Callithrix jacchus: one gene and its partner. The main gene of each other region encodes a partner of the protein of the gene in region 2 in a complex. Links are inferred from orthologs where the notes say so. Each region holds a gene or a part of one and is shown on either strand. Other genes may lie near its edges.

Region 1 (3,743 bases), on a different chromosome or scaffold from region 2:
GCATTCACCAGACCTTTCAATGATGAATGTTTTGACAAAGAAAAAAACGCCCCACAACATTCTCACCCCAAAATGGCTGTCCCACTTTCCCAGGTCCCTCTGTCCATTCACCTGGACCTGCAGGAGGCTTGGTTCCGGGAGATTCTAGGGGGGCCTGAGGTCAAGCTCAAAAGGCATTTGGCTTCCCCAAAGGCCCACAGGCTCCTGTGCCCACCAGTGCGCCTTGCCTGCCCACAGGCTATGCCATCAGCCTGTACTGCCTCTTAATGTCACAAGTTAACATCTCATAAAGTAAAATACCAGAAAGAAAGGAACCCTTCATTGATTTGCCTCAAAACTGACTGCTATAAACTGCAGGAGATGGTTGGGTATATGTATGACTGCTGTGCGTCTGGTGGGTGTATGGGGACAGAGTGATGTCAGCATGCATGTGTGACTGCCTGGCGTGTGGTGGGTGTATGGGGACAGAGTGATGTCAGCACGCATGTGTGACTGCCATGCTTGTGGTGGGTGTATGGGGACAGAGTGATGTCAGCACGCATGTGTGACTGCCGTGCGTGTGGTGGGTGTATGCGGACAGAGTGATGTCAGCACGTCCATATGCACTTTCCTCCTCTTTTAAAAACTCCACTCCCAAATGTATTTACTCGCTGAGTTCCACCCTACCCTCTCCCAAACAAGTTGAGGAACCTCCCTCCTCCCCATTTGTCATGCTGGAACTTTGGGCCCCTCCCTGGGTGTACCCCTCCCCGTCTCACTGTTGACCTATTGAGAACCCCAGGTTTTTAGCCTCTTCTTTGAGGCTGCCCACCCCCTGGCCCCCCAACACCCGGTCTTGCTTCCCACTTACGGGCATCTCGTGCACGGTGGGGGCTCTGCTCCCGTAAGCCTGGTTACTGGTCCTGTACACTGAGACAGCCTTCTGGGTGCTGGTGGATGAGAAACACTGTTTTCATTCATTCAATCTAATTCTGTCCAAGCCACAGCCTTGTATTTTGTTGGCGGCACTCCCCTGGAAATGCTCCCAGGGAAAGAGCCATGTGCCTGGCTGGGCTGGTGATGCAGCCTCAAAGGCAGCCTCCATGAGTGCCTGGCTGACGGTCCTGGATGGCCCAGCTTCCCTGGCCCCCTCTGCTCACAACTGTCCCTGCTCTTTCAAAGCAGGCCAAAGCCCTGAAGAGCAGGCAGCCAGCAAGTGCTGACCCCCAGCCCTGGCAGGGCCTTGGCACACGCTGCAATTTCTGGGTAACTTAGTCACCTTGTCAGGAGTGGAGGCTTGGCCTCCAGATCCTGCCACCCAGAGGGTCCCTCTGCCTCTGAGCCCCCACCCTCGCTGAGGCCATGCTTCTACTGGTACCACTGCCCCTGTCAGGGACAGGCCACTGAGAGGTTGCAGGCACACAGAGTAGCTCCACTGTAACCCCAGATCTTGTCCAAACTATTCTTCCTACATCCCCATCATCTCTCTGGGAGAACGAGGATACGAACAAACCCTGCCCTAGAGGACTGTTGAGAAACCAAACCCGGGGGCACCGCCAGATGCCTGCACCTGCCTGTCGGAATTCAAAGTTCCTTACTACTTCTTAGTCTGCGGCGCCCTGTGGCAGCTCACAGTCCGCAGCAAGACAGTGGAGGTGCTGCTGTGCTCATGCCCTGCAGCAGAGTTTCAGGGTAGAGAGGAGAGGTGACTCATCCGACACAAAACCGCGGAGCTGAGACCACAGCTGGGCTTTCTCATCCCCCCGCGGCCCCGCACCGCCTGACCCCGCCTGAACCCGCCTGACCCCGCCTGACCCTTTCCTTGTATCAGGCTCTAGGGAGCACTTCCTCAGCTCACTGGTGGGCGATGACAGCGCGGGCCCCCGATGACCACTCGCTCCTCTTGACTTCCGTAGCTAGGATCTTGGGGGTCTTGCGGGGCCTCTCAAACAGGGATATGGAGCAGGGGACGCCAGGCCCAGGCACGCTCCGGCTTCCTCACCTGTAGCCCCGGAACCACCCCGGGTTGTTGAATCGGCCCGGCAGGTCCGCGCTCACTCGGTAGTAGTCGTTGGTCCTCTCCGGCGGGGCCGTGGCCTTGGGCTCCACAGGCTCCCCGCACGGTCTGGGGCTTTCCTCGGCCATTGCGCCTCCGGCGGGAAGCGGGACTAGGCCGCGTCCTGTTGCCTAGCGACGGCCAGGTCACGTGACGGGGGCGCGAGCGGCGGGGCCTTAAAGGCGCAGCGCGTGGACCGGGCTCCTCGGAGGGCGAGTCCCCAGGGACCGGGAAGGTCAGGACGGCCAGGGATTCCCTGCTGGAACCGTCGTGTGGGGCAGCCCTAGGCCTCCAGCCGCCCGCGGGGGCACCGGGGCACCCCAGCATCGGGGCGTGGGCTCCCGGGGTAAAGGAACCCCAGGGCCTAGCACCCCGCCAGCCAGGTGACGGGGTTTAAGCGCTGCCGGTTCACGCGGCAGGCAGCGATTGGACGTCCGCTGTCCAGTGTCCTCCAGGGATGCCACGCCCCCAGCACCCCGAGTCTAAATTGAAACCCGAGATCTCGCTAACTCTATGCGATTCTCCTACGCCAAATATCGTTTAAATATTAAAAACAATTTTGGAGAGCCAGAGGTTGCGCGAGACGTGGTTCACAGCTCACGTGGCGGGAGGCGAAGGTCCCCATCGCTCAGCGGGTGCCCCCAAGGGTCAGGGGACTCCCGGGCCGGCTCGGCACATTAGCAGGGCGGGGCAAGCTGCAGGGCGAGGAACGTGGCCCCACTCCCCGCCAGAGACTCTAGAGCCCCGGACCCCGGGTCCTGCTCCGTCGCCTGCTCCGCCCCCGCCTCCGCCTCCGTCCCCGCCCCTCGTCTGCCCCGCCCCCGCCTCCGTCCCCGCCCCCTCGCCAGCCCCGCAGGGAGGTCCCTGCGGCCCGGGGACGGCGCCGTGGCTCCTCCAGGCCTGCAGGTGGTGCTGCGGCCCCGCGCGGACGGTGGCGGGAGGGAAGGCCGCTCGGCCGGGCCCGGAGGGAGGCCCCGTCCCGTCCACGTCCCCGCCATGGCGCCTTCCTCGGCAGCGCTGCCTCGAATGCTCGGCGTGGGTGAGCGCGCTTGCGGGACCCGCGGGAGGAGGATGCGGAGGGCGCGCGGGGACCCGAGGGGGCGGAGGGGACCCGGAGCGGGCGCGGAAGGAACTCGGGGAGGGCGAGGGGACCCGTGGGGGACGCGATCGGGGCGGGCGTGGTGCAGCCGCGGCGCGGCGCCAGGACCTCTGTCTGCTTCCCTCAGGCGCCCGGGCCCCGTCGCGCTGGCTGGGCCTCCTCGGGGAGCCAACCCCTGGGCCTGCTCGGCCGAGCCGCAGGACGCTTGGAAGCGCGGCGGCCCCCGCGATCGGCGAGCCGGAGGACGGCAGCGGTAACACTGGGCGTCCCGCCGAGTCGGGTGGGAGCGAGGAGAGGCCAGCAGCCGCCGGGGCGGCGAGCCCTGGAGGGGCCCGGGCGCTGCGCGCGGTTGAAGCTGCGCGCCCCGCCGGGCTTCTCCCGCCCCCGAGCGCGCCGCCGCTCAGTCCTGTCGGACCCAGCACCCCAGGCTGAGGCCACCGCCTCTCCAGGGATGGGTGCGAGGGAGCGGGCGGACCAGTGGGCAGCCCAGGCTTCGCTCCCTAGGGGTTGTCACTGGCCCACCGAGGGTCGGAGCCCCAGGCTCGCCCAGGCGGACCCAAGGGACCTGGGGGCTCGGAGTCTGCCCACCTTGCTGGACTACTGATGGGG
Region 2 (3,743 bases):
TTCAGCTTCTGTGGCCAAACTTATTTATTTACCTCTGAAATTTCATCACCAATATCTGGTGGTACGAAGTCCAGTGACTTATTCTGCATAGCACATCATTGCTGAGAATGAAGCCTTTCTAAATAGCAAGAGAATGTTACTACAATTTATTTCCTATGGGTGAAAGCAAAGCCTTTTTGTCCCAAGAGGCAACTGAGCAACCACCAGAGTCTCTAGTTGAATAGCAAGGGTGTGAGGCTGGCTAAAATTCCCACAGTTAGAATCCACCTGCAGGAGGATATTTACCAAATTGACATAAGAACTACATAAAAAGGAAATGCAGTTATTGAGCTGATGTTTCACCGTTGTCTGTGGATGGAGGCAACATAGCAAAATGGTCTGCTTTTTACATTATGTTATTCTCTTCTTTTAAATTTGGTTTCTTGGTAATTATTATTTTGTTTGCTACTTTTCAGACAAAAGTACAATGCATAAATATAACTGCACACATGTAGGACTAACTTGTGAACTCAATTATTTCTCCTTGTATTTTCCCAATTCTATATCAGGAAAGATGATGCATTCCAAGGACAATGTACCACACAAAATGTGTTACATAGACTTCTCATAAAGGAATACCTCTAATAAACTATTATAACTACTCTGCGTTCACTAGCTATTGTTTAGTGCCATATTAGAACTATGTGTTCGCTTCTTTATTTAGTATGGTTATTCTGCCCATCTTCCAGTTTTGTTTAGCTATTTGGGTGTGCGTGTGCCTGCAAAAGAAGGTCTGAAAATAAATTAGTTGAACCTGAGAAACCATTTTGAATGATTGTATTAATAAATATTTTTTTAAATTAAAAAAAATCACATTTACCCAAGCCATTTTCAGCAATCACGCCCATTTTCTCTCCCACTTTATTTTTAAAGCAATTAGAGACGCTGAACCCTAACAAAACAAAATGTAGTCAAGTCTAATATACTACGAGGAGGGGCTGGCAGTAATTTTCCTCTAAATATTGCATCTGAACACAAATTCTGTTATTAAGTGTAGGGTAAAAAAACCCTCATATAGATAATTTTAACCGCAGTTTGAGATTCAAGCAATATAAAGTCTTCCAACCCAGTCCCCTTTCTTCTCCTTCCGCCCCTCCCCAACCCCACCCCATAATGGATGCTCGGCAGACTGCTTCTGCACGGTCTCTTTGTCTAAAGGATGCAAACAGTCTATGGATGCTAGAGAAAAAAGGGTGGGGGAGAGATTACCTCATCCCACGTCGTTTGCACCAATCACCAGTCTCCTGTCATGACTTCTCTGGGCAGATTGGGGGTCTGGACCAACAGGAAAAGGCCCCAGCCCATCCCCATGGCGACCGAGTTGTATATAGGGAGCCGCATCCGCCCATGTGCCTCAGGTTCTCTTACATCGACCGCCTAAGAGTCGCGCTGTAAGAAGCAACAACTTCTCCTCGTCTCCGCCATCTGCTCGGCAGCCGCGAAGCAGCAACCATGGTGAGAATCGGCTTCCGCTCTTTGTGGCGGTTGGGTGGAGTCAGCGCCCCCAGGGTCTACTTGGAAAACTTTTAAGCACTTTTCTTTCGTAAGCTGTCTGGGCGAGGATCGTCGTGTGCTTTAGCTTTGTCTGCCCCAAGTCCTCAAGCCCCGCCGCCACCGCCGCAGTGGGGGTGCAGGATCCAGGCAAGGACTGCGCCCAGGGCTCAGCCAAGCGCTGGGGAGGGACAAAGGCGGCGCCTGGGCGCCTGTGTCGTCCGAGAGCCTTTCGGGGCTGAGGACAGCCCCAGCCTGTCTGCCGCGACCGAGGGGTCTGGGGCGTCCCGGCTGGGCCCCGTGGCTGTGCGCCCGGTTTCGTTGCCCCCGAGGGGCCTCTTCCGTCTCGCGTCGTTCTCTGAGGACCGCGAGAGGAGGAGGTGTCCAAAAAGAGCGGGGACCGTGGAGCTGGGGGATGCGGGAGCGGGGACGGGAACAAAGCGCAGCCTGGGGTTAGCGTGGGAAGACCCCTCGCGGTCGTTGGCGTTTTTTCCCGGGAAAATACAGTGAGTTTCTGCCGGAGCCCCCGGCAGCGGGTGTCAGGGAGGCGCAGGGGCGGAGTTGTTTGTTTCTGGCTTCTAGGGCGATGGAGCCACGGGGCGGGGTTCGCCCTCACTGAACCTCCTCTGTCAGTCGCAGACTTTAAGAAACGCCTTTCGTTATTGCGAAACTGTAGGCTCCAAAAGGGTTCTTCACTATTATATGTTAGATGACTTTTTTTTTTCTTGAGCAAAATCACAATTCACTTGGCAAGCTCTTCAACGTCTGCCCTGACCGACTGGAGACAGACAGAGAGAGCGAGAGAGAGCGTGTGTGTGTGTGTGTGTGTGTGTGTGTGTGTCTGGGTGTCTGGGTGTCTGGGCTGCATGTTCAGCGAGAGAGAAAGCCCACTTTGTGAGCTCCCGGGTTACCCTGATAGTCAGGATCTAGGAAACGCCCTTCCCCGCCGCCAGCCCCCACCACGTCAGTGAATAGACAATGGAAGTGGTAGCCCTAAAGACCACAGAGGAAGAAAACCTCTATTGGATGCAAAGAATATTAATATTATGTGGTAGGTGAAGAATCTCAAGATGAAAATACTATTTTGTTTTTTTAAATAAATATTTCATTATCCTTCCACTGGGCTTTTATTCTTTGGTAGCTTATGTGATGCTTCTTTCTAACTTAGGAACCTTTTTGTATTTTTTTTTTTTAAGATACAGATAATTTTTCAGCTTTTACAATGGAGAAGATCTGGAAAAACCTTTTTTAAAAAAGAAAAGTGATGAAATTGCTATAGACAAAGAAGGATTATATTCTGTATCCCGTTGTCCTTTGTTCTAGTGAATCTTCATTAATTCATTTCAATTCAGGCACATGGTCCTGGGCTGGGTCAGAGGAGGAAAACTGGCAAAACAGCACAATGAGATCATGTAGGCAGTTGCTGGAAATAGAGCTTGCTCTGTTAAATAATGTAGCAGACAGTACAGGCTAGCACCAGGCACTGCAAATACAGCAATGCAGCAATGCAGAAGGCAGACCTTGTCTAGCTTCTAAACCCTTGGTATTGATGGATTCTGCAGACAGACTGCGGAAGGGTGTGGCTTCTTGCCTCAGCGGCAGTACAGATGTCCCTGTTACAATATCAAGTCCTATTCAGAAGAAACTTTAATCTTTATTTAAAAGCAAACAAAGCAGTACAATTAATCCCAATTAAGTCATGATTGGATTTACTTTATTTTACAAAATTTGTGCTTCGAATGCGGAATACTTTTTAAATATGAAAAGTCTTCTACTATTCAAGCAAGGTAGTAAGAACAATGGGCTGGTACCATGTGCTGAACAGGGCCAAGGCGACATTGTTATTCAGACCACACCATATGCAGCATTTGTAGCAGATAATTTTCCTTAATCTTTGTAGCATGCTGGGGATATGACCTCAAATAATTTTGAAAAATACCTGTATGTTATTAGAAATATTTTTAGAAATGTACTCAAAGTTTGAAATGCTAATACAGCTTAATTATACAATTTTTTTCACTTTTCCTTCCTACAGCGTGAGTGCATCTCCATCCATGTTGGCCAGGCTGGTGTCCAGATTGGCAATGCCTGCTGGGAGCTCTACTGCCTGGAACATGGCATCCAGCCCGATGGCCAGATGCCAAGTGACAAGACCATTGGGGGAGGAGATGACTCCTTCAACACCTTCTTCAGTGAGACGGGTGCTGGCAAGC

What was found. Proteins that work in one complex are often made in the same cells at the same time.
Region 1: the proteins of tubulin alpha-1A chain (region 2) and PIERCE1 are in contact, whole or in part, in a cryo-EM structure (PDB 7UNG), measured with the Homo sapiens proteins. The link is inferred for Callithrix jacchus from reciprocal best matches to the Homo sapiens genes TUBA1A and PIERCE1. Residues at the interface, in NP_001257328.1 of Homo sapiens: Met1, Arg2, Gln15, Asn18, Ala19, Glu22, Cys25, Leu26, Glu27, His28, Gly29, Ile30, Gln31, Pro32, Asp33, Met36, Pro37, Asp39, Lys40, Asp46, Asp47, Ser48, Asn50, Glu77, Gly81, Thr82, Tyr83, Tyr224, Thr225, Asn228; in NP_001041730.1 of Homo sapiens: Tyr28, Pro35, Gly36, Arg37, Phe38, Trp43, Phe44, Arg45, Gly46, Tyr47, Arg48, Thr58, Ser59, Asn60, Gln61, Ala62, Tyr63, Gly64, Arg66, His71, Glu72, Pro74, Phe77, Tyr78, Pro79, Asn80, Ser81, Asn82, Lys83.

The regions. Positions count from the first base shown.
Region 1 is NC_133502.1:184,010,220-184,013,962, forward strand, and holds the start of PIERCE1 (piercer of microtubule wall 1 protein), read right to left. Parts: upstream 2,155-3,743; 5' UTR 2,125-2,154; coding exon 1,982-2,124; intron 930-1,981; coding exon 851-929; intron 1-850. Other genes in the region: MRPS2 (small ribosomal subunit protein uS2m), read left to right, coding at 3,032-3,074, 3,262-3,387. UniProt on the Homo sapiens protein: Microtubule inner protein involved in the attachment of outer dynein arms (ODAs) to dynein-decorated doublet microtubules (DMTs) in cilia axoneme, which is required for motile cilia beating.
Region 2 is NC_133510.1:70,370,311-70,374,053, forward strand, and holds the start of tubulin alpha-1A chain, read left to right. Parts: upstream 1-1,396; 5' UTR 1,397-1,491; coding exon 1,492-1,494; intron 1,495-3,565; coding exon 3,566-3,743. UniProt on the Homo sapiens protein: Tubulin is the major constituent of microtubules, a cylinder consisting of laterally associated linear protofilaments composed of alpha- and beta-tubulin heterodimers.